Linked DNA regions of Diceros bicornis minor. The protein of the gene in region 2 interacts with the protein of the main gene of each other region in a pairwise test. Links are inferred from orthologs where the notes say so. Each region holds a gene or a part of one and is shown on either strand. Other genes may lie near its edges.

Region 1 (15,867 bases), on a different chromosome or scaffold from region 2:
GCCTGAGGGCCATCAAGGTGGGAGGAAGTGCGCACATGGGTCTGGAACTCAGAAGGGAGGTGAGGGCGACAGCTGGAGATTAGGAATTCACTGGTTTACTGGCAGTTGAAGCCACAGGATCAATAAGACAGCCATTTGAGAGTATGGGACATTAAAAGAGAGCCAAGGAAAGGGCCCTGAGGACAGTGAGAGGAAGAGGAGCAAGGAGAGCCCACTCCTCAAGAACTGGGGGAAGACGAAATTTTAAGAAGCGATCAGCCATCAGAATTAAAGACCACCGAGAGGTCACGTGAGATGTCCACTGCATGTGCCAGGAGGATGTCATCAGAAGATGTCCTTCACAGAGCATATCAGAAGAATGCCAGAGGCACAGGCTAGAATTCTGAGTGTGGTTGATGCGGAAGATAATAGTCAAACAAAAGACACTCTGTTGTATTTAGGATTCAGGAAAAAAATATAGGAAAGTACTTCATAAAGGACTCTACCACAGGAGGAAGAGAGCCTTTAGAATCGATCCCTTTAACCAGGAGGAGTTTATACAGCCTTTCTATGCCTTTTTCAACAAAGCACCTTAAAAAAGAAGATTAGCTAACATCCTGCTGGTTCATTTACATCAACTGGTTCAATTTAAGAACCATCATTTATTTTCACCTCCTCAGTCCATCAACCTTAAAACAAACTCCAGTGTAAGGAGTCCAAATGTGTATTTCGTCTTGGATTATAAACAAGTTTTATAATAAAAATTGTTCTTGTATTTTTTCTCTTTTATTGTCAAGAGATTTCACCAACAGAAAGTTCTGTGATAACAAGATGCAATTTGTTGCATTGGGATTTATGCTCTTATTCTTAGAAATCTAGCCACCAAGGAAGAAAAAAGTCTGGTTCTATTCTTAAAGGAGAGACATATTTTCTGATTTCATATTTTCCTTCTGAAAAAATATTTTTTTCTTGTTTAATTTTGCAAAGGAAAATAGGATGAAAAAGAAGTGAGAAAGAATCTCTGAATGCAGACCTTTCTACTGAAAAACTAGACTGTGAGAGTGAAAGTGATATGGGGCTAGTTTTGGGGGTGGGGAGTATTGTTTTGGTGTGTGTGTTGTAATATTGGAGAGACTTGAGTTCTTCTTTGGACTCTGAAGAAGCCAGTAGCGAGAAGACACAGAAAGAGAAATAACGGATGCTGCAGATTCCACAGAAGGGAAGGGGTCTGTCTCGTATAGAAGGGACCCCTCAGTGGAACTAGAGGAAAAGGGGTGAGCATTGTCGTGGCCAAATAATGCGATAGGTGCAGACAGATTTTCCTCTGTGAGGAAGGCCAGGCCACAGGCTGAGCCAGGGGAGGGGCTCCTTGTTGAGGAGAGCGGGGAGGGGAGTGGAGGAAGAGAGAGAAGGGCAAGAGAAGAGACTGACAAGTACACACAACGCCCCGGCAAGGCAACCGTATTTACCTTCCATTTGCACCATTTAACAGAGAAAAGCTTGTAACTACCTTCTGTCTATGTTGAATAAAAACAAAATGAGAAAAATAAAAGAGAATAAGAAATGGACAAGATGATATTTACTGTGCAATTAAGAAGAGGGTGGGCTTATAATTATTCATTCACTTAATTATTTATTCAACAAATATTTACTGAGTGACTATTATGAGCTAGACACTGTTAATAGTAATTAACAAAACAGACAAACATTTCTGCCTCACAGAACACACGTTCTAGTTCTCTCCATATTTGCCAAGATAGTCCTTGCTCAAATTTCTAAAAAGTGTTTGCTTTTTTTCACCAGCTTCCACTGCTATACAAAATACACCAGCAACAGCCTCTCTTCCTAATGAAGGGCCAAAGCCCGAAGAGCGGGTGTGAAGCCACTACAGCTGAGGGCAGGCTGGTTAACACGCCCTCAGATGACGCTGGAGGACATCTGAGAAAAAGAATGCCTTCACTCACTTTGGAATTTGGCCCGGCCTCCAGATTTAAGAGTCTCTGAAAGAATTAGTGTTTTCTAACAATCCATCCAACACGTTAGGTTCAGAACATGATTTTCTGATTAGGCACAAAACTCCTTCTGGACTAAGAGGCAGATGGCTGCTGTAAAACTCTCGCAAGCCCCCCAGGTGTTTGCTGCGGAAGCTGAAAGGGGCAAAGGGATGTGGCCATATCCTTTCTGGTCAAGTTTCAGGATAAAATAGATTTAAAGGACAGAACTGTAACCAGGATTTGAACACCTTGGGAAGGGATGTGGTATTTGAACAACATCCTTCCCAGACTAAAACCCACTCAGACACGGATTGTCCTTCCAGGCACTGGGCAGGCTGGTTTATATTAGCAGCCAAATGCATAATTGCCAGGAACTGGCCAAATCCACGGAGACACCAGTCACTACTGAATGCTGAAAAATGTATGTAATATACCGTATTAACTGTAAGCCTGGCTCTTTTAATCAGATCTGAGTCCCACAGTGGGGATTTCTGCACAGGAGGAAGATGTTTACTGCCATCTCCCATTCCGGGAAGAACACAACTATGATCTGGTTAGTCTTGCCAATTTCTGTTTTATATGTTAGGTTATTAATATGGATGTTTATAACATACATGTTTCCAACTCATTCTGAATTCACTTCAGTATGAAGTGATAAAAATAATGCCCTTTCTCTTTATTTTAGATTATACCGACAATGAACTGGGTATTACTGAACTACAGATTTAAGAGGATCACCCTCTTCTCCATTCCTGGCAGATTTCTCAAATTGGTTTCCCCAAAACCAAGTTGCGATGAGATGGGGAAAAGGGCCTCTCAGAAGCTGCCTAAACCCAGCCCCTCCGGGCTCGCAGCAGCTGGGACAGGTGAGGAGCCCAGCTTCAGAAACTGACCAGACTTCCTCCTAACCTGAAGATAGAAAATTCTGCCAGCTGTTCAGGCTCTCTTTCCCAGCTTCTTTTATGTAGAGCCTTGATTCCTCAAGTTCAGAAATCTGAATTTCCCAAAAATGGATCCAGCCCCAGATAATTCTTTCATACCAAACAAACTCACCAGGGAATTCTCTGAGCTCAGAATTCTGTCATTTCATTCATTTCCAAGTAGCAATTTCATTCTACACGCAGCAGATGAGGGGCTTGCAATTCAGGTTACGTGGTTAGGTGATTACTCCAAGACCCCTTGGCTAATTGCAGAACTGGGATTTAACTTCAAAGGCCTTGCTCTTTCTGCTAGAGCATACTGCCTTCCTGGTGGGAACCCAGCAGGCAAGTGCAACAGGAGGTTACAAAACAGCTTCCAGAGAGCAGAGTGCACTGATGGAGGGGCAGGGCAGGCGACAGGGTAGGACAGGCCACATGGAGAAAGCTGGCAGTGGACAGCAGAACCTGTGTGACTGAGGGTCAGGAGCCAGAGTCCAGGGCAGGCCAGGGATGGGGAAATTGGCAAGAGATCATTAGGGCCCCATTCAGAACTAAGATATGAACAAAATAGAAACTGTCTCAGGAACAGTAGAGAAGCCAGATTAGGAAAACTGGGCACAGGGTATACCGGGTGGGCTCACCACCGCAAGTATTAACCTCCAACTGAGTTGCAGAGCGCCCTACTCCAGCTCTTTCCATCTCCCTGTGAAAGGAAGAAACTGGCTGGGAACAGAGCAGAGATGAGCCTGCAGGTGGGGCCAAGTGGCTGCCAGCCACGGGGCTGAGAGGAAAAGCAGGGGCAGCAAACTAGATAGGTCACTGCAACGCCAACACCAGCCTTCTGAGTCCAAAATTCTTTCCTACATGTTTTATTTCTTGACTGTTCTAAAATGTGGTTTTGATTCTGTTTTACGTCTGGAAAACTTTCCTAAAGATTGCTTGAGAAAGGGTGACCATATAATTTACCACTCAAACGTGGACACTTTTGAAAGTAAAAGGGAGAGCTGCTAATGCTTGTGCCAGCACAACAGTGATAGACCAGCACGGACCCAGGCCCACCTGCAAGCAAGGTCACCCTAGCTTGAGCCCAAGCACGTGGGACTCACGCAGCCTGGGCACAGCTGGCAGAGGGTGGGTGAGTTAATCTTGCCAGGACTCTGGACAGGAGAGGCCAGAGGACTCGTGGGAAGTAACTCACCCTAAGGTAAAAGAAGTCAAAGTACACAAATTGGGTTCAATGTCATCAAGACAGACCCAGAAAGGAGGGATGATTCTCTGTACTGCCCACTGTTGGCCACACCCAACGTCCTGGGTCCCAGGACTTTAAAAAGCCAATAAAAAAAGAGCTGTTTAATTAAATTTTCCATGGGACATTGAGGATGAGAGGGTTAGCAAAATCCTGTGCCAGCAATGTCAGCAGCGACAGAGAAGTGTGGCACTTTGTTTGGGTGGGTCGTCAGAGTACCCCCACAGTCACAGCACCTTCAGGGACATCAGCATGGCTGCTGCTCCAGGCTTTGGCAGTGACCTGAGACATTACCCCAGCCAGGAGAGCAGGAGCGCCAAGACAGCAGCTGTCTTGCTTTTGTATCTCAGAGCATACGGGAGGTCATCCGTGAGGACTCACTGAGCAATTTGCACAATAGAGAGGGGATGCAGTTTCACATAGTGCATAGAGAAAGAACCAGAGAAATATTATTCCATAAAGGATAGTTAATGTGACTTGTTTTTCTTTTTTTGTGAGGAAGATCAGCCCTGAGCTAACATCCATGCCAATCCTCCTCTTTTTTTTGCTGAGGAAGACCAGCCCTGAGCTAACATCTATTGCCAATCCTCCTCCTTTTTTTTTCCCCAAAGCCCCAGTAGATAGCTGTATGTCATAGCTGCACATCCTTCTAGTTGCTGTATGTGGGATGAGGCCTCAGCATGGCTGGAGAAGCGGTGCATGGGTGCGCGCCAGGGATCCGAACCCGTGCCGCCAGTAGCAAAGTGCACGCACTTAACCACTAAGCCACAAGGCCGGCCCCTGTGACTTTAATTTTAGCCCAAGCTGGTGGTGCCTGGGGAACTTAAATAACAGTTCTTCCATCACAGTGTGAGGTGCTCACTGATGTTGTCTACATTGGGGGACCTTCCTAATTGGGGGCCACTCACTTCATATCAGTAGTTTTATGGTCTAAAATAGGCATGTACCCCCAAAAGATACACATTGCAATGATACATATATATATAAAATAATGCAGAAAAATATTTATACATGGTAATTAATACATAAGATAGAAACATTTTCCAAAAATTCCTAACATTATGAACTTCTGCTACCTCTTAAAGAATGACATCGGGGCCGGCCCTGTGACGGAGCAGTTAAGTGCGTGCGCTGCACCGCTGGTGGCCCGGTTCGGATCCCAGGCGTGCACCGACGCACCACTTGTCAGGCCATGCTGTGGCGGCGTCCCATATAAAGTGGAGGAAGATGGGCACAGATGTTAGCCCAGGGCCAGTCTTCCTCGGCAAAAAGAGGAGGATTGGTGTGAATGTTAGCTCAGGGCTGATCTTCCTCACAAATAAAAAAAAAAAAAGAATGGCATCTACTGATTCTCTCTGATATCCAACTGATTAGTGTTAGTCTTTCAAAAATTTGAAATTAGATACAGCTTTGAAATAAAGTGACTCACTCACGGAATGGCTAAAATGAAAAAGACAGACAATACCAAATGCTGGCGAAGATGTTGATCTAGAATTCCAAAACAGTGCCAGTGAGTGTGAATTAGTATAACTTCTTTGGAAAACTGCCAGTATCAACTAAGGATGAACACACGTACTTCCAATCCTAGTATAGACCCAGTAGCAATATACATGTATATTTACCAAAAGACATGGACAAGAATGTTTATAGCAGCACTATTCAAAACAGCCCCGCACTGGAAACTAACCAATGTCTATCAACAGTAGACTGGATAAATAAATTATAGTAGATTCACACAACAGAACACTGCCATGAGAATGAACAAGTACAACCACAAACAACAACATGAATGAATCTCACAAACATAAAGTTGAGCAAAAGAAGCCAGACACAAAAGATTCCATTTATATACAATTCACAAGCAAGCAAAATTAGGCAATAGGGTCAGAAATCAAACAGATGTAACGTTGGAGGGTGGGGGCTAGTGGACAGAGACACAAAGGAGGCTTCTGGGGGCTGGTAATGTTCCATTTCTTGATCTGGGTGCTGGTTACATGGGTATGAAATTTTATTGAGCTTATCGTTTGTCACTTCTGCTACATTCTGCTAGTTAAACTGGTCACTAAGGCCAGACCGTACTTAAGAGGAGTGTACTCCACCTGGCGTGGCAAAGTCACACTGCAAAAGAGCACGTGGCGTGAGCGACATTGTTATGTCCCTTCCAATTATAAATACAATAGCACTTTAAATTTTAAATGTTTAATAAATTTTACAATATACTCCAATTATCCACTGCAAATTAGAACTCAGCCTCATTCTGGGGTAAAACAGAAAACTTAGGAAGGTAGAGAAGAAATTAAGAGCATCAGCAAGCAAAGCAAACGGGACAAGGAAGACATTCCAGGTTAGGCCCCATTCCTTCCCTGACCTGGAACTGTGACCAGAGGAACAGGTACATTTATGGGGCAGGCCCAGTTACGTGCCCAGCAAGATCCCATGAAAGGAAAGGGGTAACCCACCAAAGGGAGAAGCCATGGGAAACCACACATGCCTACTGCAGGTGTCACATACTGTATCTGATCATCATCAAGACGACAAGAGAAATTCTCAAACTCGCCTTCACGAACCAGGAAGTACATCCTCTCCAAGTTGCATTCAACTCTATGATTCCAGTGTTCTCTTCCAACACACACGTCAAATCCATTAGTATTAATATTAAAATATTTTTAAAATATGGATCTAGTTGTAAAACATACATCCAAGTGCAACTACTGATGGCAGTTGTGTTTCATTTCTCTTTGAGCATCTCTCAAAATTCTCATCTGTCTGGGAACATGTGTTAACACTTCTCCCTCTGGTAGTTTGGATAAATCGTCCACATTGTTTTGACCATATACATTTCTGTTAACAGCCATGAGTCACACACCAAAAAATTAACTGAAGACGACAGGTATGGCAAGCTGAACATAAGCCCCGACTCCTCCGCTCAGGCGAGCCTCTTGGGGATTATTAGAGAGAAACCAGGTTACTATGATGCCATTTAACCAGACGGCTCAGCCAGAGGCCTTGTCAGTCTATGTGGGACCCTCCATAATGAAGGGACCGAGCCAAGCAAAGGAGAATGTTTTAGCATGATAAGGCCAGGTCTCTCACCTCAAGAAGTAGACTTAAAATCATGTTATTAAAAGAAATATATGTTTCTCTCATAGACTATATACCAGGGGTGGGCACACTTTTTCTGTAAAGGGCCAGAGGGTAAATTTTTAGGCTGTGCAGCCATACAGCCGCTGTAGCAACTACTCCACTCTACTACACAAAGAGTAGAGCAAACGCCACCTTCAGCAACACTGACACAAACGAGTGCAGCTGTGTTCCAACAAAACTTTACAGAAACAAGCCTGTGGGATTTCGCCCGTGGGCCATAGTTTGCCAACCCCCGGACTGGACCCAAAAACCCTACATCACAGAGGTGAGATGCGTTTGTCTTTGGGGAGTGAAAGAGTAAAGCCTGCACACAGCCCTGCTGGTGGAGAGAACAAACAGAAGTTGAAACACTCCCAGTTCCCCCCAGCCTGTCACCTCCTTCCTACCACAGTACTGGAGCCGGCCTCTCCTCTCTGCAGAATCAGCAGGAGCCAGAACAGGTGGAGACCGTGTGCACAGCTAGTGGAGTCCAGAGGGGGCAGAATCTGGATGACACACGAGGGGGCTGGCATTGCATTAGTTCCCGGGAGGAAGGTCTGTTCTGAGGAAATGGAAGGGACACCCGATGATGCAGATTAAACAGCTGTGTGGGGACAACACTGGGGGCAGTGGAGAGAAGGCGAGAGTTAGGGAGTGATGGAGCATCAAACATCCTGAAGCCCACCTGGAAAGGACTTGTTCCCCTGCGCCATACAGAGACAGGAATTAGCCCACCTAGAGCCCAGGCCCCAAGCTTTCTTTGGACCCTCTCTTGAATCCTTCAGAAAAGAAGCTCTTAAGCCTCTGCTTCATCTCCTACCACTCTCTGCCTCACTCCATCAGCCTCACCCACACTAGCCTCCTTGCTGTTCCTTGAACACACCAGCATATTCCCACCTCGGGGCCTTTGCACCTCTTTACTCTTCAGACAGACTGAAAACTCTTGCCATAAATATTCAAATGGTTCACTCTCTCTCTTCATTTGGATGTTTCTCAAATGACATCGCTTCAAAGAAGCGTTCCTTAACTTTTCTATCTAGAACGGCACCATCATCAGGCTCCACTTGTTTCAATTTTTCTTCACAGCATATATCACTACCTGACTGTCTCCCCCAGCAGCATGTGAGCCCCATGAAGGCAGAGACTTTGTTTAGTTCATGCCAGTATTCCCAGCACCTTGAATAGTACCTAGGACACAGATGGTACTCGACATATATTTACTGAATGAATGGATGAATCAAGTCTAGTGTGTCTGTGATGGCTAATTTTATATGTCAACCTGGCTGGGCTATGGGACCCAGATATTTAGTCAAATGCTATTCTGGATGTTTCTGTGAGGGCGCTTCTCAAAGAGAGTAACATTTAAACTGGTGGACTTTGAGTAAAACAGACTCCCCTCTATAACGTGGCTGGGCCTCATCCAATCAGCTGAGGGCCTGAATAGAACAAAAAGGCAAGAGTGCATTTTGCAGCAGATGGCCTCCAGACTTCATGTGCAGCATCGGCTCATCCTGGGTCTACAGCAGACTGCCTTTGAACTCCAACTGCAACTCTTCCCGGAGTCTCCAGCCCCTCAGGCCCTCCTACCATCAGATTTTGGACTCACTAAGCCTCCACAATTATGGAAGCCAATTCCTTTAAATAAATCTCTTCATGTATATATCATATTCTTTGTCTCTCTGGAGAACCTGATTAACACAGTCTCTAAGTCAAACTGTGCTATCTTCTTTACTAAGGAATTCTTCCTAATAGCTCTGTACCCACTGGTTTTCACAACCTGAGACAGAGAGCTGAAACTTCTGCATACTTTTGTCAGATTTGCAGGTAATGTTGCTTCAGGTGACTTCCTTCCCCATGGCCAGCCTAATGGGGACTGGAGAATGGGGGAGAAAATAATCAAACACATTTTTTAAAGATTATAGCCAATTATGTAGAAACACTGGCACTTAGAACCATCTGGAGATTTTTTATCTTCCCTTCGTATGCTTCTGTTTCACTCATATTTAGTGAATAGGAATGTTGATCTACACCCTAACCTGTCTAGGTCCTGGAATGGTAAAAAACATAAAATATCAAAGATACAAGGTATGTTTATAATCTGGATTTTTAGTCGTTTCCATAATATTTGTACGACTAGATATGACCATAATTATAAACTCTATGAGACGTGGTGTGTTTTCACAAGACGCTCCAAGACAGTGCTCCCCCCATGCCTTAAAATATAAAAAAATTTCAGAAAACAAACAAATTTCCCTTCTGTGGTACCACTTTGAACTCCCGCCATGACAAAGCGGGACTCTCCAGCATCCCCGAAAGCGCTTCCGCCCTCCCCGCTCCCCGCTCGCAACGGGCGGGAGGAGGGCGCCCTCCCAGCCAATCAACGTTCAACAGGCCCTCCTCCGCGCGTCTTTCAAAGGCCTCCTAGCAACCAATGAGCGGTTAGAGGCCGAGGCGAGGCCCGGGGGGGCGGGGTAAAACCAGGGAGAGGGTCTGATTGGCTCCTAGGAGACGCCGGGCCCACCGCACAGAAGGATGAGCCAATGAGCTGAGCCGAGGGGCGGGCTCGGCGCGGGTGGAGGCCGAGACACCGGTGCTGCCGGGGTAGGCGGTGGCCGGTCAGGACGCAGGGCGGACAGTGATGAAGCCGGTGAGTCGGCCGAGGCTTGGAGGGGCGGAGCCGCAGGGGCGGGAGCGGTGCCGAGGCCAGTTCTTGGGCCCGGGGACAGCGCAGGCCTGGTCGGGCATGACTCGCAAGTAACCGTCCTGGGTCGGGAGGTGGCGCTTCCTGGGACCGGCGAGGGCGACGGCTGCGGAGGGCAGGTCAGTGGCGGGCGCGGGGAGACGGACGCTCGCTGTGCGCCTGTCGTGGGCTGAAGCTGTCGCCTGCGGGGTCTCCTGCGCCTCACGACAGCCCTGCCAGAGAGGGCTGAGGCCCGTCCTACGGAGGAAACTGAGGCAGAGAGAGCTTAGGTGTCTGCCTGATACCCCGGCCTTAGAGGATGTCCGGGCTCCCTGCGCCTCCCTGGGAGCAGTCCTCACCGCCGATGGGAAAACGTCACCAAAGACGATTGCCAGCCCCCCCCCGTGGGTGTGACACCACTGTCACCATCTCCCAGGGCCACCTGGCATTGCGTCCCATTCCCTGGGGTTCAGAATCCCCGGGCCTGAGGGAGCGGAAACATGCAGCCTGTTAGAACTTGCACACCTGGCTGGGGGAGCCTGAGGGAATGGGCCACACAAACTGAAAATCTTTAAAAACTGCTTTAAAGAGAAAGAAAGAAAAAAACAGAGGCAAGGAGCTGAAGCCCCTGACTCGCATCACCTACCACCGGTGCTGACAACCTATTGAAAGGCCTTCATTTGAGTTGAGTTGATAATAATAATACAGATAGATGCGAAGCAATCAAATCCATAGCCTAAATCGGCTCTGTAATGTGATCTTGCCATAACAAACAAGACCGTCATAGAATAGAGCTCCAGAGCTAGAAAGGACATTAGGTGGTCACACTTGCTAATCCCCATGTTCCCATGTGGAGGGACATCCCCTGTCCTTCACTCTTGGCCTGCTTCTCCACCTGTCCCCAGAAGGGGAAGAGTGAGTGATCTGATCACACAAGTAGCTCAACCCTTTCTTCCCTTCTCTGCAGAGAGTACTTTCTGGGGTGCACTCCGCCACAATGGAGACTTGGGTTGTCCATCACTAGTCCAGCCTAAGACTGGGTGGATAAATCCAATCCTGGATTGAAGAATTGACAAGCCCACTTGACCACAGCTTTACAGCCACATCCTCCATTTGACCCTCAGTAATAAAACTAACATATTGATCTCCATTTGCCTCTCCACTATCTTCTCTCTCAGTTGGTTCCAACTAAGGAGTAGAAGAAAGATGTGTTTTTCACTTGTCCTATTTTTATTGGTCCAACAGTCTTCCACGTAGAAATGCTGCCTACATGCAGGATCGAGTTCCCCCTGCTTAGATGAGCATGCGTATTCCATCCCCATCTCCCTATTCGATGATTCACAGAGCTGGAGGCAGGTTATTCACCTATATTCCACCACCCCCTGCACCCTGCCAACCAAACTACGAGGCTGTCTGGGGTTGTTTGTTGAGAAATAGGGTAGGTAAAACTGCTTCTCTAGCTTCCTCTCCTCTGTTCTGATATCCCAGTCCTGAATACACAAGCCTTTCTCCTTGTGCCTTAATTGCCTTAACTTCCCCCTATCTGCCTAAAAACCTCCTGATCATCCTCCAAAATACAGCTACTGCATCTCCTCCGGGACGCTTTCTCCAGCTCTCTAAGCAGTCACTCCCTTCTCTGGTCTCAAGTGCACAGTTTATGCTTCCATTTTAGCGCTTACAACTCTCTTCTGTCGTCCATGCACACAGCTGTCTCTCACTGAAGGCAGGCTAGTTATGTTATGGATCCTTGCCTCTCCAGAGCTTGGCAAATGAAGGTGTCCAAGAAATGTTTGTAATGAATGAATAAATCTCCTCACTTTATAGTTGTGGAAAACTGAGATCTAGAAAAAACTGAAGTAACTTGTCCAAGATTATACAGTGAGTGGCAGAGCCAAGACCAGAAGCCAGATTCCTTGGCTCCCAATCCCACGCACTTGCCGCTCCCTAGTGCTGTAATTATCAATAGGATGGTAAACAGCAGTCACTTATCATTGATGTTGCTGCTCTCTGATATTCCAGGTTGGTAACTGAATAAATTGCAACCATGCATTGTGTGTTTAAGCAAGGATCAGGTATACTAAGAGTATAAGTAAATATTCTTCTTTACAGTTATTTAACATAACTGATTTCTTTTGAAGCCTACTTCAATGCAAAGAAGCGAGTTTGATTCATCAGACGAAGAGCCTATTGAAGATGAACAGACTCCAATTCAGATATCATGGTATGTTAACATTTCTAATCAATGATGAGCTAAAATACTTAATGTGTACATCGTAATCTTTGTAGAATGTAGTCCACATATTGAAAATATTTACTGATTCTCTTCTGCTGATTATATAATTCTAATCTTTAAGTGATCTTTTAACTCAATTGAGAAAACCATAGTAGAAACAAGTAAGTAAGGAGTTGAGATAGGATTGGAATGATCTCCCATTTAGTACCAAAATCTACTTATTCTTTTCCAACAAAAGAATAGTGTACCAAACACAGGATAAGATATTTAATCATTTATCAAGTCAAATCCTAGAACTACTTGCGTCTGTCTTGCATCTATCGGCAGACCCTGTTTAAGATAAAAGCCACGTTACTATAGATACAATGACAAAAACAAAAGTTTCTATATAAAATCAACTTCCAAATCTTGGGAATGACTTATGGTTACACCAGATTTTCTACAACCAGCAGTCAAATGCTTTCTCTCACCCCTGTAAATGTAATAATCTCTCTCCTTAAGAAAGCACCGTGCCCTACTGTGGAAGAGAAAAAGGAGCGTAAGTGTTCTTGTCCAGAAAGTTCTTTTGTTCTGCCATCAAATAGCAATTATCTTTCATTTCCCCTTCTAACTCCCCTTTTAAACTCAAAAAAACTTCTAATTTTCAGTCAGGTGGTATGTATGTGATGCCCGGTTTCCTCCGCAGTCACCTCTGTCTTGCAGACAAAGTGAGCCTCTGCCCCTTGGTCCCTGAGTACTGTAAACTGCCAATAGGATTTCTTGAAATTATTTCTTTTTAACCAAAATCCATTACAACAAAGAATGGGTGGCCTGTGGTTTTTATTATATGAAATTTTATTTATTTAAGGAAGTCCTACAAAGAAATCTTAAAATAGTAATGTAGAATGAGTGCTGGGGATGAGATTGCCAGTTGGCCCTTTTCCAGCTTATTTACGTAAGATTACTAACACAAATATCTCAGGTAACATACCACAGAGTGCCTTAAGTACAATTTATACTAGCTGCAGGCAATCTAGGCATTATCATCTTTAAGGTAAGAATAAATTAATTTGCCATTTTTTAGACGTAAATTGTAACAATGCCCGTAAGTCCCTGTTTTAAAACTTCCAGTTTTTCTAGGCCTTTTTGTGACCAACACATTGCTATTTAACTATGAATTTTTGTTTTATTACTACTTAAAACTTTAAAACACCCTTGTTCAGTGCCAAGTGCACATTTGGTTAAACTGAATTTCCATTTACAACTCTTTTAAAACTGGACCAAACTTGATACAGTGATCCTCTTTTCAGGCTCCCTCTGTCGCGAGTGAATTGTCCTCAGTTTCTTGGTTTATGTGCTCTGCCAGGTAGGTGACACTACAGTTGGCTTCCTGTGGATATATCTGAAATAATTTTTTTGTCAGCTAACAACATCATTCTCTGTACTGAGCAGTAAGAGAATTTCATAGACCATCAGCACTGGGGAACTCACTTTTGGAAGCCCTCCTTGAGGGCTCTCAATAAAGGAGCATAGATCCACTCTTCCACCCCTCCACACCCACACGCACAGTTCTACACTTCTGAGTGACCTCTCTTAAGAAACCGTGAACACTGGGGCACGATGTGAGGCTGAGGACGACAGCCAGGTACCAGTTACAGAAAGGAAACAGAAGAAAGAATCCTCAGATTAGGAGTTTCTTCTGCTAGGATCCCTAGAATATTTTCTTAAGAATATAAGAAGTTGAAATTCACATTCAAAATGGAATTGAAGCATATAAATGATCATGTGGAGTGACTTTCTACAGTACACTATATATATGTTTAAATATGCTTGTTATACATGACCAAAAACTGACTTTTTCCCTTGCCTCATTACTACCTATAGGTTGTAAATTTAAAGATGTTAGAAGAAATATCCAAAAAGATACAGGTAGGTGTAAAATGAGACAACCTTATTAATAGGTTTTGTTAAAAATAATACTTAAAATCTCTTTGTCAGAAAAAACAAACTGTAGTCTCTTCTCAATTTTCCAAATAAATGTTCAATATTTCATAAAGTTTCAAACTATGGACTTATTCTAATATGTGAAGAAGTATTTGTGAAGGGCTCAGAGAACTCATCATTTACGAAACATAGCACTGCTTTTCACTGATTGTTGTAGTTCTTTTATACATAGAAACTGCATTCAAGGTTAGAATGTGTAAGTTGGAGGGAGAAAAGTATGTAAATAGAAAACTGACACTGCCCTGCCCAGATCTTTGAACATAACTGTTCTTTATAGACTTGCCTGTGATAGTAAAGATTCAGCCTGAGCTGGAAACCCAGAGGTAGAGTGAAATTGTCCATCCTGGATAGAAAATTTAGAGAGCCAGCATCTAGGTGGAAGAGAGGGAATAGAGTATAATCTTCACATGCTCTAAGATGTTCATACCACTATAGCCTCAAGTCTAATAATCCTACAAATACCCTGATAATCTACCTCAATTTGTAATTTACATATTGCATGATGCCAACAAATTTGGATTTTCAAAATGTTTTATTCTGGTTGGCCTGGTTATCTCAAGCCTAATAGTCCTATCAATGTCCTTATAACACACCAAAGGAAAATGTACATATTGCTTGATTCTGACCAGTATAGATTTTGTACATCTTAAAGTTTTTTCCTGGTTGTTCTGGAATATCAATTTGCTAATATACTTTCTTTAATTTATTTTTTACCTACCAAAGAAGACTTAAAGAGGCCAATCAGAGGCTGGCCCCGTGGCTTAGCCATTAAGTGCACGCACTCCGCTGCTGGCGGCCCGGGTTCGGATCCCAGGTGCGCACCGATGTACTGCTTCTCCAGCCATGCTGAGGCTACGTTCCACATACAGCAATTATAAGGATGTGCAGCTATGACATACAACTATCTACTGGGGCTTTGGGGGAAAAAAAAAGGAGGAGGATTGGTAATAGATGTTAGCTCAGAGCCGGTCTTCCTCAGCAAAAAGAGGAGGATTAGCATGGATGTTAGCTCAGGGCTGATCTTCCTCACAAAAAAAAAAAAAAAAAAGAGCCAATCGATTAGTTGACCCTTGCAGTATTTGTACAGATTTTCTGCTTTAGAGATACCCACCATGGTAGGAAATTTCCATTTGGGTAACATTTAAGTCATAAGCAAAATGTAATTTAAAGCATTGGTTCAAAAACCAATCTTGTGTATTTTGGAAAGCCCTATTCACTTAGTATCTTCATAAAAGGGGTTTCCAATTTTTTACCAAACCTTTTTTTCTTCCATTGAAATCTTAAATGGAATCCAATATACAAAACAGATGACAATGTTTGATGGCAGAGACCGTGAATCTCCCTGCAGCAGTGCCTGTGCTTCCTCCCCAGAGTCCTTTCTAGGACTACTGTGTAACAGAAATTATCCAGTGTGTACAAGAGGCAAATAGAAAATTACCTACTCTCTTAAAAATGGTTAAATATGTTAACTACAGATTAAATCCTTTTACAAGTACAAAAATATAATAGTATATCTAGAGCAGCACTATCCAATAGAACTATATTGGGAACCACAAATAAAAGCCATGTATGTAATTTTACATTTTCTAGTTGCCACATTAAAAAAGTAAAAACAGGTAAAATGAATTTTAATAATATATTTTGTTTAACCTAATATAGCCTAAATAGTATCATTTCAATAGGTTTTAAGTATAAAACAAATTATGAAT
Region 2 (15,855 bases):
TCCCAGCACATTTTTTAGAGAAGAAAATGGACCCTTTGTGAATTGGAATTTATCTCCTCTCAACTATCCCACCCAACAATAAGGCAGGCATAAAATACAGTGTTAAGATTTGGGCTCAGGAAATAATACTTAACAGGAGTCACTGTGACACTTTCAGAAAACTCTGTATAAGAGTGCTTTATGGCATTTCAGATATATAGTCAACAATCCTCATCCAGAAAAGAATGGAGATAAAATATTTTATTAAATATTTATTAAATCTATTAAAGTTCACATTATCTACTATAGAGTAGGAAAGCCTCACACCCATTCAGACTGATTCTGACATACAGGCTTCAGATAAGAAGCAACAGCGTCAACAGAGGGGATCGGGGGGGTAGGGGTGTGTGGATACAGGGACTGGAAATGACAATAATAAGGGAGATGGACTAGTTAGCTAAAACAAGTTCATATTCGTGATACCCATAATCCCCTAGATAAGTGCTCCTTAAACTGGGATTGGACAATTTGTGGAGGTCTTGAACCCCTTACCTGTACATAAAATTTTACTGAATAGCTTTTATTATTTTTGTATGACATCAGTGTAACTTCAAAAGTGATTAGAGTGCATTTTTCTAGAGACAAGATCTATTCTATAGCTTTTATCAGTTTCTCCAAAGGTAGCAATATTTCAAAAAAGGCTAAGAACCACTAACAAATTATTTACTGACTTTATTAGAATATTAAAGATGGTTTGGTCAGCGGCAAACTGATGTTATATAAACTTTGTTCTAATTTTTTTTAAATAGAGAAATTCTATACAATAGTCTGTCTTCCTAGATACTGGTGTCATTTTTAAGACATAATTTGACATAAAATCAATTCTATACTATTTTGATTAAATTTGGATTAGCTGTGACTTTTGGATAATCAAAATTACTCCAGATTAAAGGAGAACTGATTTTATTTAATTTTCACAACCATCCTTAAAAGTAGGTAACCTTCTGTACACATAAAATCTGTTCATTTTGCAAATCAAAACAACACTAAGATACCAACTCACGCCCGTTAGAATGGCTATAATCACCAAGACAAAAAACAACAAATGTTGGAGAGGATGTGGAGAAACAGGAACCCTCATACACAGCTGGTGGGAATGCAAATTGGTGCAGCCTCTATGAAAAACGGTATGGAGATTCCTCAAAGAATTAAAAATAGAGATGCCCTATGATCCAGCCATCCCACTACTGGGAATCTATCCAACGCACCTGAAATCAACAATCCAAAGAGGCTTATGCACCCCTATGTTCTTTGCAGCATTATTCACCATAGCCAAGAAGTGGAAGCAACCTAAGTGTCCCTCGACTGACGATTGGATTAAGAAAATGTGGTATATATATACAATGAAATACTACTCAGCCATAAAAAAAGACAAAATCGTCCCATTTGCAACAACATGGATGGGCCTGGAGCATATTATGTTAAGTGAAATAAGCCAGAAAGAGAAAGACAAACACTGTATGATCTCACTCATATGTGGAATATAAACCAACACATGGACAGAGAAAACTGGACTGTGTTTACCCGGGCAGTGGGGGTGGGGGGTGGGCAAAAGGGGTTAAGGGAGTCATATATGGGGTGATGGACAAACAAAAATGTACAACCCAAAATTTCACAATGTTAGAAACCATTAAAACATCAATTAAAAAAAAAAAAAAAAGGGAAAAAAAAAATCTGTTCATTTTTCAGATGTAAATTATACTTGCATTAAACACAAAAGTGGGTAAGTCAGTAGCACACTCATCTGGCACACAATTAAAGCAGACTCAGGAAGATTAGTTATTTGCATGATATAGTCAAATAAGCAATTCAGAACTAATTTTTTTTCTAGTATCTTACCTCTCCAAGTGTACAACCTCATCGGGTCCTAAAATTTACTCATAACAACTAATTAGCACTTAGCCAACATTTAATATTTATTGAATTGAATTTTAGACATCACAAGTGCTCTATGGGTCTCTTCTTTCTGACTCTTTTTGAACCATTATCATTTCTCATTGAACTACTGGAACAGAACTCTACCTAAACAGGGCAAAATGATTCTACTGGTTAATCATCAAAAATTATTTATGAGGGCCAGCCCCGTGGCTTAGTGGTTAAGTGCGCGCGCTCCGCTACTGGCAGCACGGGTTCAGATCCTGGGCGCGCACTGACGCACCGCTTTTCTGGCCACGCTGAGGCCGCATCCCACATACAGCAACTAGAAGGATGTGCAACTATGACATACGACTATCTACTGGGGCTTTGGGGAAAAAAAAAAGGCGGAGGATTGGCAGTAGATGTTAGCTCAGAGCTGGTCTTCCTCAGCAAAAAGAGGAGGATTAGCATGGATGTTAGCTCAGGGCTGATCTTTCTCACACACAAAAATAAATAAATAAATAAATAACTGTTAAAAAAAAATTATTTATGAGATATATGGTATGTGCTCTGAAATGAACTCAACATTATAAAATAAAAAATGTTAGATATGGTCAGGTTATACAGACTAATGGTAAGCAGAAAACCTTTAATCAACAAATGTTTATAGAATGCCTACTAAATGCCAAGTAAGGTTCCACATCATGGATATACCTACTCTCTATGATCCAAAAAGATATTTTCTTAAGGAATTCAAAGACTAATGTGACAACACTGAGATTTTTGTAATTCAGAAGAAAGCAGAGAACCATTTTGTAATAATTGAAATAAGAAAAGTCTGGATGTATTTAAGAAATGAATTGGGTTGTCAAAAAACTCAATATCGAGGGGGAAAAAGTTAGGGAGACTAATCTAAACTAGAAGCGATTAAGGAGACATTAACCATCAAATGAAATGCATGACCTTGGCTAGATCCTCAGAAGATACATGCAGAAGTATTTAAAAACAAAGCACATCTCTACAGCTTACTTTAAATGGGTCAAAAGAAAAACAAAATGCTAAAACACACATATACAATAAAGTAAATGTGACAAAACACTAACATCTTGGCAAAAGGTATTACAGGTTCATTGTATAAATCTTTCAACTGTGTAGGTTTGGAAATGTTCAAAATGAAAAGCTGAGGGAATAACTATAACTTTTAAAATCATCATTTGAATGTTTGAATTTGACCAGGTACGTGGCAGGAGCTAAAGAAAATACTGTGTGGAAGATATTATCTATGCCTTAAATTATTTCTACAAGTTATTTTTTTCAAAAACAATGTCCAGCACATAATCCAAAACAGCCAGGCACTGGAGTAGTCAAGACAATATAAGCCAGAAAAAGAAGAGACAGATTTCAGAAAAACACACACAAAAAAAACAGATAAAGTTGTTATTAAAAATTTGAGTATCTCCTATTGCTGGACACTATTGCCAGGCACTGGTCAAACAGTTGTGAACAAGAAAAATCTCAACTCTCCTGGAGCTTACAGCGTAACAAAGAAAAAGCATATTAAGGATAATGAAAAGGGAACTACAAAATGCACTTGGGCTAGAGCAAGGAGATGAGAGGTGAAGCCAGTAGAGGGTGCTTCCGGGGTGAAAGAACAGGCATTGCCAAAGACCCAGAGGTCAAAGAACAGGGCATATGTGAGGATGTCCAAGAAATCCAAATTAGCAAGTTGAGTGGAATTGGAAGAGGCTGGCAAGGGGGCTACGACATTGATGGTCGTGGAAACAGTGGTCATAGTAATAATAACAAATAGTTAACATTTGATGGTTTTCTGAGTTAAAGCACTCAAACAAATCCTTTCCATACATTATCTCCTTGTATAATCATAATCTTTTTTGGTAGGGACAATTATCCCCGTTTGCAGAAAGAGAAACTGAGATCCAGAGAAGTTAAAAGGTTTATGGTTGTCCCATTGGTAGAAATGGGATCTTGTGACTCCACTATATGTATGTAATATACTACATTTGAAATTATATTTTTAACTGCTTCTATTTGTAGTAGCAATCAGCCCTGGTGGTCTAGTGGTTAACATTCCACACTCTCACTGTCACAGCCCGGGTTCATTTCGAGGTCTGGGCACCAAACCACCTGTCCGTTGATTGTCCTACTGCAGTGGCTGCGCCTTGCTGTGATGCTAAAAGCTATGCCACCAGTATTTCACATACCAGCAGGGTTACCCATGGTGGACAGGTTTCAGCAAAGCTTCCAGACTAAGACAGACCAGGAAGAAGGGCCTGGCCGCCCTTCTGAAAAAATTGATCAGGAAGACCCCCATAAATAGCAGCAGAGCATTATCTGACATAGAGCCGGAAGGTGAGAGGATGGCCAGAAAGACCAAGCAGGGTTTCACTCTGCTATACACAGGGTCACTAGGAGTCGGAATCGACTTGACAGCACCAACAAATCTGTAGTAGCGATTCAAGTACTTTTCTCAAGAGTCAAATCTGTAGTCTCCTGTATACAGTTTGGAGTTCCAGCGTTTTAAAGAAAAATACATTTACACTTTAAGAATGCTTCTTTTTGTTCCAAACTAAAATCAATACATGAAATTCTCTGAGGATTTAAGAAAAACTACAAAGCAGAAAGACATTAGATGTATCTAATGTCTAATTACTTATTTTTAAGTTATCTTTAAATTAGTAGCAAACTTATTTTTAAATTAGTAGCAAAATTAGCTTAGTTGAGTGGATATAATAAAGTAAATTAATTTTTCAAAAAACGAAATCATAGGGGGCTGTCCCAGTGGCGTACTGGTTAAGTTCGCCTGCTCCCCTTCAAGTGGCCTGGGGTTCACAGGTTCGGATCCCGGGCGCAGACCTATGCACTGCTCATCAAGCCATGCTGTGGCAGTGTCCCACATACAAAATAGAGGAAGATGGGCACAGATGTTAGCTCAGGGCTAATCTTCCTCAGCAAAAAGAGGAGGATTGGCAATGAATGTTAGTTCAGAGTGAGTCTTCCTCACAAAAAATAAAAATCGTGTATTTCTAAGTTTTAAAAAAAGAATTTATCTCCAAGCAAACCACCACCCAAACTTGTCATTACTACCTTACTAAATTCCTTCCAGAATTCCTCCCCTAGCTTTTTTGCAGTATTTCTTGTATAAGTAGGGTTTTGGAGTACACTAAAATATAGTTGGAAATGTTCCTCAAATAGAACCTACATGAATTGGCCTCTAATAGCAAATTATTTTGTATAAGTTGTATCATTTGTTCCTGGACAGTTTAGAATGTTAATATCAAGACTCCTATACAGAAACTTAGATATTCTGAAGGGAAAGACAAAAAAACAGGCAACGGGATATTTTTACCCCTCGTTATGCCAGGATATTTTTACCCCTCGTTATGCCATATAACATTCTTTAAAAACTTTAATGCAAGTACAACAGAAAGGGAATGAGTGATTATATACAAGTTACTGTTTTAGAATAGCTTAAACATGTACACATGACAGATCATTTAAACCTAGGGTAACTAAATAGAAAATTTATTTAAATTAGTTTAATAGTGAATTATTGCAACCAATTTAGAAAGTTTAGGTAAAAGTATTTATTATCTTAAAATAATTGTAGGAGACTAAAAGTACATTATGAAACCTAACCTCTCTCCTACAACACCCATACAAGATATCAATAGTGTTTTCAAAATACAAACATCGCTTTAAGTATTTAGTATTAGAAGAATGTAAGATTAAGGGAGGATAGAGGAGGAGGCTGTCAGGGAGTCGTATCAGAATAATTTCAATTCTCTTGAAATGTAAACATTTTTATGTTTAAGTTATTATGTAAGAACATATATATTAAAGCACATTAGAACTGTAAAATACCTTAAAGTTTGGACTTTAATAAATATTTACGTCTTCATGTCACAGACATTATAGCATCATTAAATCATTTTTTAAAACTTTTATATTATTAAAATCACTCACCTTCTCCAATTTTCTCTATTTTGATATAGTCTTCCATAGTTAATCAATAGGTATGATAGATCCTAAAATGAGAGGAAAAACTGATTTGATTACATGCCACTTACTCAAAGGGTGGTTTTAAGTTATTAATGAGATACTATTTGTAAAGCATTTTCCACAATGCCTAGTGCAGTATTAATTTTCTGTAATATTAGTTATTATATTAAAACAATATTTACAAGGGAAAGGACTCCTACAGTAAGACTTTCCCACCTTTCTTAGCTCTTAAAACATTGGAAATATTTGTATATTTAGCAACATAAATATTTAGCTTCTTCCAATCAAATTAACCCTCAAATTCAGACATCAACTTACATATTCTTCCCAAACAGAAACCAGAAGTATGTTCTCTTTATGTAACACTTCTGAGGAGCACCAGTGCCAGTTATACCCAAATATTTCAAAAAATATGTTATTTGACTGAGTTTGCACTGCTTTATATTTTTACGAAGATAATACAAAAGAAACAATTTTTAAAGACATGAGCTAAAATGTGGTCACACTGCTCATCCATTAGAAAGAGTGTTTAAGGCAGCAAAAGCATATAAGTGTTTAAACTTGTTCAAGTGACAGTTTTAGTCTTTCTCCTGTTTTTAGAAGTCACATACACTAATATGATCAAGACTTTCAAGGTACTTTTTACAAGAGTAGGACTTATCACTAAGCACCCTAAAAGAAAAGGTGCAATTCCACAGATACAATTCTAATTACACCCTACACAATGTCAAGAACAAAGTAAAAAACTATATACTTGAATCACAAAGAATGGTAAAAAAGAGCTGAAATGCTGACAACCAGACACTCAAGACTTCCTCAGCTGATAAGTTGGCCATTGAAACATTAACTTCAGAGGCCCAGAGCATAATTACCTTGATTTTCTGACTCACTCATCACTGATAACATCAGTGATCAAGGTCACTCTGAGTAACCGACCCTTAAGGTCTATCTCTCACATTCATCTTCAAAATCATCCCAGAAATAAGTAGAGATAAATCTTTTTAAATGAACAAAATTGCACTAGACTGGCCATGAGTGCCAATCTTAAAATTTTTAAATTTTACAAAATGGCAATGACGATTAGGATAATTATCTTTCTTCAATATGCAGATTTAATTTGTGGAAAGCACAATAAAATTGTAGAGCTCACTTGGAACAAATAGCTAAAAGCTAAGTCAATTTCAAAGCTGGGTTCAATTACTCACCCTCCGTTTTTCTGTCCTAACAATTTTAAACCAAGGATGCAGCTTTAGAATGACTTCTAGGGCTCTGTACTACTGGCCTCAGGATGTAAAATACCCGTGGCTTAATCTCCTACCCACAGAGACCTCCAGGTCTTTAGAGGAAGCAAGACGTATACGTTAGTAATTTCAGTATTAAATAAACATTGATTGAAGGATATTAACACACACACATATGCATCTATCACTCGGCATGTCTTAGCTTTTCACCTTTTGCCAAACCACCAAGCCTAAAACAAAAAGGGGAAAAATCCAAGTTCCCCCTGGCTCTATGCCTTGGCTAAGCGTTCTTAAAGGCCCTGAGTGGGCAAGGGCCAGGGGCACAGAGGCAAGCCCGCAGAAGCCCACAAGTTAGTTCATCGGATCGGTTTTCCGGGATGGCCTGGGTTTAGGGACTGGAGTGGGTACCTGGCCCAGGTGTGGTCTTGCTTTCCACCCCCGGGGACGAGGGCAGAGCGCACAAGGGGCGGCCGGGAGCCGCAGGGCCTAGGACGGAGCCTGGCACCGCGCAGGCGCTCAGCGTCCTAGAACCACTGCACGGATTTGGCTTCACCTGTGACCCGAAAGCCTCCTCTGCCAGGTCGGCGGCCTCTTCCTGAGAACCGACCGCGACCCCAGACTGCAACTCCGAGGCCAGGGCAGCCCCAGCCCTTCCCGGAGTAACCCCGCCAGGTCTGGGCTCCCCCAAGCCTTTCTCTAAAGCCAGGCCCCGGCGTCCCTCAGACGCCCAGACCCTGGGCCCCAGATGAAGGCCCAGCCCGGCCTGGCCCCACGCAGACCCCTGCTGCCCAGCCCAGCCCAGCCTGCTAAATAGCACCCGGTTCCTCAATATCCCCCTCCGAGGCCCCCGAGCCGGCCCTGCCGAGTCGACGGCCCAAGGCATGACCCTGACCCCAGCAAGTCTACCGGCTCACTATCCCGCGGCGGCTACCACGTCGGCGTCGCTCTCCCCAGAACTTCCAAGAGCCAGCTTTGAAGCGAAGCGCCAGCAGTTTCAAACTCACCGCGCTAAAGGGGCCCGAATCCACCAGTCAGGGAGCGCGTAGACTTTCAAAGGAGCCAATCAGAGCCCAGCTACGCTTGGGCCGGGCTTCCCGGGAGACTAGAGCGCGAAAGAACGAGGAAACGGCGGCTGCAGAAAAAGCAGGAGGGCGGGCGCCAACTGAGTCTGAGCGCAAGCGCTGTCTTTGATCCCAGGGGAGCGTCGTCCTACTGTTTCTAGTCATCAAGAATCTGCTAGGTTCGTTTTTTTCCCTTCCCAATATTGGCACAATTAAAATTTATTGTACTCAAATAGCTCATCACAAAGTGATACTACACTTATAGCAAAATTCCATTACTTTCACGTCTAATATTTAAAGCTAGTGTATATTTGTCTTTTTCTAAATGGATGGTTTTCGAGCTGGGCTGAAGGAGAACATTTCAGTTACCTTAAGAAGGAGGTAGTAAAAATCTCAAAGACATCGTCAACAATGTATATCTTTCTCTCTGGGAGACCTAAGCAAGAAATTCAATTTATGTCATCCAAAAACACCTAGTAATTCATTATATCCATTTTACATTCAACATAAAGAAGACCATAAGCTTCCACAGCTGTGATGCCAGATTTTTCAATTTAGCTCAATTATCTTTCTTTTTAAAGTTTCAGTGGTTATTCAGGCTATGATATTGGCAGATACAGTTTATTACACTTTGGGCCAACTTGCATTCAGTGTCTCTAACGTGTAACATGTAACACTGTGCTTTATAGACACAAAACTGAGTCAGACACAATTCCTGGTCTAGGTGTTGGAGGTGAGAGGACACAAGGATTACTTGGAATTCTCTTCTGGCACTTATGTTGTAGCTTATGCTGTGAGGTGATATGAGAACTAGAGGAGGAAATTAGTAATTCAAACAGAGGAAGCGACATTTGAACAAAGAGTGGAGAAAGAATTGTGGGGTGGGCCTTCCAAGCAGGGGAAATTGCATGAGGAATGCACTGAAAGAGAGATTGCTGTTAACATTTTGGTATCTATACTTTAAATGCACATGTGTCCACCCACCTCAATCTCTTATTGGAATTTCAGGAACTGAGGATGGGATAGGGAGAAGAGATTCATTCATCCACCCAGGGACCAATGAGGATCAAAGACACCAGGTGAACAGATGTGAGTCTTCCCATCTAGGTGGAGAGCCAGTGCTTCAAGTGCAATAAGTAAAGGCTGCTCTGCACAGAGCAGAGAGTTACTAGGAGCAGCATGAGTGTGGTAAAGGGGAGAGGGCTCTGGCCAGGTTTCACAGCAGTGGGGGCATCTGAACTGAGTCTTGAGGAATGAAGTTTGCCAAGCAGACACATGAGCGGGGAGAGCTTTTTGGTCCATTGTGAAGAAATAATAAGCATGCTTGATGGACTGAAATTAATTCAGTATTGCTGGAACATAAATGGAGTTTGGGGGCTGGAAAAGGGGTCAGAGAAACAGTGCTAGGGAGTTAGGCAATATCCATATGTCAAAGGGCCTTTCAGGGTCATGCTAACGGATTTGGACTGCAGGATGGAATTGAAAAAAGATGTGAGTAGGGGAGTGATGTAGATGTGGGAGTTAGGAGGGAACAGTCACTACGAGGAGATGTGAGGAGGGACAGTGAGGTAGCACCAGAGCCAGGAGGACTCTGTCACAATCCCAACAGGTGCTGACCTAGGGGAGCTGGTGGTCAGTTTGGAGAGGAGAAAATGATGATGAGATATTTTGAGGAGCTAGGACCACAAGACTTGGGTGGTGGATTGGGTGGGTGGGGGAAAGAGTCATCAGGCATGACTTGGGTGTGGGCTTAACAAAGGGCCGATGCCAGTACCATTCTGGAGAGAGGCTGAGGGGCAGTTGTGAGGATGAAGTGCCACTCTGGATATTTCATTGTGAGGTACCATGGGGACATCCGTGTGGCCACAGACCGCCAAAGGCAGATGCAAGTTCCATGAGGCCTTAAGTGTACGTCATTTGGGGGCCCTTTCTAAGGAAAAGAATGCAAAATTAAGTGTGATGGGGAATATATACTGAGAATAAGAAATTATAAGATTACAAAATTTTAAAAGTTGAAAAATACCATAAAATCACAAAATCCTTAAAAAATTATATTTTACTAATTGCCTGACACGTCCTTATAATGCCTTTTGTCCTACATTTTTTGTGGGCTACAATTTTTGGAATCTATATTTGTCCACCAAGCCGATGAGCTCTTTATCTCTTTATATGACATAATTTTGTAATATTATCTATGAGAGAAAAAAGATAATTCAGTCTTTCCTTTAACTTCCTTTAATTTGATCTGAATTGGTTTTTTATGACTAGTCATTTCAAAAACGTTTTTGTGGCTTTTTATCTCCTTATTGATTATATCATATATAACAGAATTTCTGTCAAATTCGAGAAAACATCAAGTTTCTTTCCCATCTGAGCTGTTTATACTACTGCTCTAAGTTTATGCCCTACAAACACAGGAATTATTAAAATTTTAAATTTGCATGATTCTAAATATTCCACATTCCAAAAATTGTCTGATGCATTTATAATTGTTCATGCTGTCTTAACAAGTGTATTCCTGACACAAGAGAAGTTCAGTTGAGATGAGGTAATGATGTAATTTTACACATCTGATAATTGGAAGAGTTTTCCACAGATTAGCTTCTCCTCTATTACCCACTACCCACTTAGTTCCAGTTCAGATAAGATCTCTGACCCTGTGCCTTTATTTCCAGATGCCAGGAGAGTCAGCAGAATGGATAGAGGGAGTATTCTCAGAAGCTATTCCTATTTAGGACTGCTGGCAATAACTTGGGAGTGCTGTGGATAAATAACTAGATACCACTAATCTTGAACTAAATGTATCCTCACTTAACTTATCCTGAGCTGAATCCCAGCAATGGTCATGGTCCCGCCAATGCCACTGGGCAGGTGGGGAAATGTGGCTGAGGGGGAGCTGAAGTGGAAAGAAACAGCAGCATCAACAAATTGTGGTTAAGGGCCGGCCCCATGGCTTAGTGGTTAAGTGAGCGCGCTCCACTGCTGGCGACCCGGGTTCGGATCCCGGGCTCGCACCGACGCGCTGCTTCTCTGGCTATGCTGAGGCTGCGTCCCACATACAGCAACTAGAAGGATGTGCAGCTATGACACACAACTATCTACTGGGGCTTTGGGGGGAAAAAATAAATAAATAAAATCTTTAAAAAAAAAATTGTGGTTAAAATATCTTATTTTATACATTTTATGACAACATGACCATGTGAACTCCCCTCTCAGAGCACTGGAAGGGGCCTGTGCAAAGGCAGAACCCAGACACTTAAGCTTCATTAGATTCATGGTGCATTTAACTTGAAACTGCAGACCAGTTTACACGTATTTGGAGCCAGGAGAAATGATCAGGGCTGTTGTTTTAGTTGGATCTCTGAGATATTTTTGGTATTTTTTTATGGATTCCTAACGCCTCTTAAATTTTATCACAATATTGCTTATGCCTAAGTTAGGCCATTCTACCAGAACTAAAAATTTATAGTGAGAAGTAATTCTTTAAATCTTTATCTTTGTGAAGTCAGCCCAATGAAGGAGGGCAATGAATTATGAATACATCCCTAATCAATAAGTTCAGGAATTAGCATAAAAGTTCATTTTCTTTCTTTTTTTTTTTTTTTGGTGAGGAAGATCAGCCCTGAGCTAACATCTGCCAATCCTCCTGTTTTTTGCTGAGGAAGACTGGCCCTGGGCCAACATCCATGCCCATCTTCCTCTACTTTATATGGGACGCCACCACAGCATGACCCACCAAGTGGTGCGTCGAGTGCGCGCCCGAGATCCAAACCTGAGAACCCCGGGCCACCACAGCGGAGCGCGCACACTCAACCGCTTGCGCCACCGGGCTGGCCCCAAAAGTTCATTTTCTAATGGTGTGAAATAGATGAAGTTCTAATTCGACTTAAACTGTCCTCTGGAATGATGCAGGCCTGGGGTTTCACATTATGAAATATTCTGCTTCATTTTAAATGTTTACTGTAATTGACAGATTCCAAAGAGCTAAGCTACAATAATATCCTCTCACTGCTAAAATGATACAGAACATTATTTACTGTTTCCTCAAAAATGAGACAGGCACTTCAGAGTCTGGTAGCGCCCGAGGGCCTCCTTGTGAACATCAGTTATCTGGCTCTTAGCTGTGCATCATTTTATGCTGGTGATATGATACTGAAGTACGACAGAAAATGACACTCTGTCAGTTCCACTCACCAAATATTTGAGCATCTTTGGTTTGCCTGGCATTACTTGGGGGCTACTCAAGATACAAATATGAATTAGACTATCTGTCCCCCTTAAGCTTAAGAGGAGGGGCACAGATAAGAAATATACACCAAATGATTATACTTCTTTTATGCTAATTAATTAAATACCTTCCATCAGCTGGTGTTTTGAACCAAGCACTATGGGAATACAAAGTAAAGTGATGCCACATCCACATAAGACAAAAAGGGAAAGATATCTGCTGTTTCAACACTTGATAACTTTATGAAGCCCTTATTATGTCCCAAGCACTAGCTTAACTAATGGGCATACAAACAAGAATCGAATGTAGGCCTGCTCTCCAAAGCTTCAGAGTCCAGATGGGGAAATATGTAAGAAGAAAAAGATTTCAAAGAGGAAAGTAAACCTTTTTATTCAATATGACAAAAACTTCCTACTACAGGAACCATACTTGATTCTTTCCAAAAATGAAATCCCAAACCACAGGCTCAAACCACAGACTCAAAATGAGATGAGGAGGAAAGACATTCAAGTGGTGCTGTCCTGACAAAGAGCCCTTTTGGAATGAATTACCATCACAGTAGTTAAACGATCCGGGTCCAGAGATCACCTGGCCTCAAATCCTTTTGAATCCTGGCTGCTGCCTTTAAATTATCAATGGCTTTGGGCAAGTCACATCATTTCTCTGTGCTTCGTTTACTCAAATGACGATAATAATAGTACCCAGTTGTGTCATTTTGAGCATAAGATGAGGTAATCCATGTAACGCTCACTTAGATCAGTGCCCAGCCCACTGTAAGAACTTCACATATAGGATTTCTTTTCCCCAATTGTATTGATCACTATCTGTCTCTCACAAAAATACCTCTGGTGGTGAGTACTGGGACAGAGACTTGAATAAATTGCTATGGGGTCACAAAAGAGGGGAAAAAAACTAGAGGAGGTGGATAAGGCTTCATTAATGATGTGATCCTTGGGTTGGGAAGGAAAGCTGATGTTGTCAATGGGAATTGAAGGACAGGAGCTGGGTAGAACGTCCAGGCAAAGAGAACAGACATATGCAACAGACAGCACAGTGTTAGAGAGGTCCCTAGCTTGTGAGGGATTGACCAAGGGAGCTTGGTAAAGCTGAACATAGGATACATTTGAAATAATTCTTGAAATACGAGCACAACTTTGGCAAATAGAAATGGAAGAAGGAAGTCGGTGGAGTAGAGATGACTGGGGGGGGGGGCATGGCATTCTAGGCAGAAAAGGAAATATATGGTATAGGTTTGGAGAACATCCAGCAGTGGGATTTGGCTGGAGGGGAGAGTGGGTGTAGGGAGTAAATGAGAGGAGAGTGGAAAGTGGAGTTGGATTCCAATTGTGAAGAGGTTTGGAAGTCACTGTGGGAAGTTTACCAGCAGCACTTCAAATAGTCCAAGGGCAGCAACGGAAGGTTTTCTCGTTTGATTGAGCATGGGAGTGACAGGATCACATTTTCCCTTTAAACAGATTAATCTGGCAGTGCTTTACAGAAAGGATTAGTGTGGGAAGAGAGAGAAGCCAGAATGCCAGTTAAAAGGTAATTCCCTCCAGGAGTTCATAATATCTCAGACGGAGACTAACTCGACAAAGCTGAAATTTAGAAATCCTGTATGCTTGTGTGTGTATTTTTAATCTGGAGGCAGCGCTGTAAGGATATTGTGACGATGATTCCACTAGAGGGTAGTAGAGACAAATTGGTAAAATAAATGAAGCAGCTCTCATCTTTACCTGCTACAAGCCAACCATTTTCCTTCTTGTCGGTATTTTGTAATGGTTGGAGGCTTAATTCAGTTAGTCCATGGCTAAGAAAAATATGACAAGTACATTTAGTGGGTTGTCACTCTAGGCAAGTTAGTAAATTCAAGGTACACATTTTTAGAAGGCGATAAAGCTGGATTGGTAAGACCAGAAAACTAGTTGGCATTTAGCCATTTCACAATAACCAGTATCTCATTATGGCCTTGATTGGAAACTCTTCTTTTAAATTGAACCCTGTACATTAAATCCAAGTCTATTATTGATTATAGTAAAAAAAAAGAAAGAAAGAAAGAAAGAAAAACAAAGATTGGTAAAAGTTAATTCTGATGTGTACTTTTGGTTAGATAAGTTAAAAAAAGCCTATCTTCAGTATACTCATTTACAGATAATATCCTAAAATATATATTGCTATATTATATATAACTATATTTTATGCACATACATACACACACACCCTTTTGGAAAGTAATACAGCATTAAAGAACTATAATGCCCATATTGTTTTTTTAACTTAGTATTCCCTCTAACATTATTTTATCATAAGGAAATAATTCTGTATGAATAAAAGTCATATACTTGAAAAAGCTTATTACAACATTTTCTACAATAACAAAAATTTAGAGCCAACCTAGATGTCTAATAGGGAAATGGTTAAATAGGTAAATTATGGTATTTCCCTTAATTAAATACCACACACCCAGACATATACACAGCGATTACGAGTTTATAAAAGCATGAACTTATACTAGCAATAAATAGACACAGAGTTGTTCTCTCAGTATGATGGGATGTGTGATTATTTTAAAACATTTCCATCCAACTAGTTTTATGTTGTTTTTACAATGACCACACGTCGAAAGGGAATATACTGCCACTAACATTTTACTTACAATTTCAAGATATTGCCCTTTAACACTTTTAAAGCTTTCACAGTGCAAAGATCACTATATAGTAAACCTTTAATCAGAATAACTCTCTTCAATTACCTTATCTTGTTAAAAAGAAAGAAAGAAAGAAGGAAGAAACAAGGAAGGAAGGAAGGGACTAACTTGAGATTCCTAGAATGCATCTGCTATTGTATCTATAAGCAAAATATCACCGGAGTAAAATATAGTATATTTAAAGATGTATAAATATCTTCCTCAATAACTTAAGAAAAGGAATGCAAAGAGGCCAATGGAGCAAACAGAAATCTAAAATGGAATTTGTCCATATTCCAGCAGTACTGTGTGTTACTAAATATCAAATAGGCAGGTCCTAGTGTAGGAGTAGAAGCTTGTAAACTTATTCAGTCATGAAAATGTCTAAGTTGAACATCCTCTTCCACCTTTAAAAACATAACAAAACTCCAAAACTAAAAATAAACTGATCTTCATTTTAATGGCTTCTAAACACTTGCAAAGGCAATAATCACAGAATTATAGAATAATAAAATGTTAGAGCCAATGGAGTCTTAGAGATCACCTAATGAGAAATGAAGAGTGTTAAGGAGATTGAGTGTTTACATTTCCCCCATTTTCAGAGCTTTGTGTACTTATTCGTTTTGTTATTTAAGCTCCTGATAATAAATAGTGTAACTTTCTCAATATATAGGAAATGATAGATAGACGATAGGTAGCTAGATACATAGACACATAGTTAGA

The links.
Region 1: the proteins of CDK1 (region 2) and CDKN3 interact in a two-hybrid assay, tested with the Homo sapiens proteins (2 studies listed by BioGRID and IntAct). The link is inferred for Diceros bicornis minor from reciprocal best matches to the Homo sapiens genes CDK1 and CDKN3.

What each region holds. Positions count from the first base shown.
Region 1 is NC_080763.1:4,564,401-4,580,267, forward strand, and holds the start of CDKN3 (cyclin-dependent kinase inhibitor 3), read left to right. Parts: upstream 1-9,831; 5' UTR 9,832-9,900; coding exon 9,901-9,909; intron 9,910-9,967; exon of another isoform or gene 9,968-10,082; intron 10,083-12,080; coding exon 12,081-12,163; intron 12,164-13,464; coding exon 13,465-13,520; intron 13,521-14,038; coding exon 14,039-14,083; intron 14,084-15,867. UniProt on the Homo sapiens protein: May play a role in cell cycle regulation. Dual specificity CC phosphatase active toward substrates containing either phosphotyrosine or phosphoserine residues. Dephosphorylates CDK2 at 'Thr-160' in a cyclin-dependent manner.
Region 2 is NC_080745.1:44,103,499-44,119,353, forward strand, and holds the start of CDK1 (cyclin-dependent kinase 1), read right to left. Parts: upstream 8,152-15,855; 5' UTR 8,064-8,151; exon of another isoform or gene 8,050-8,063; intron 5,943-8,049; 5' UTR 5,918-5,942; coding exon 5,881-5,917; intron 1-5,880. UniProt on the Homo sapiens protein: Plays a key role in the control of the eukaryotic cell cycle by modulating the centrosome cycle as well as mitotic onset; promotes G2-M transition via association with multiple interphase cyclins.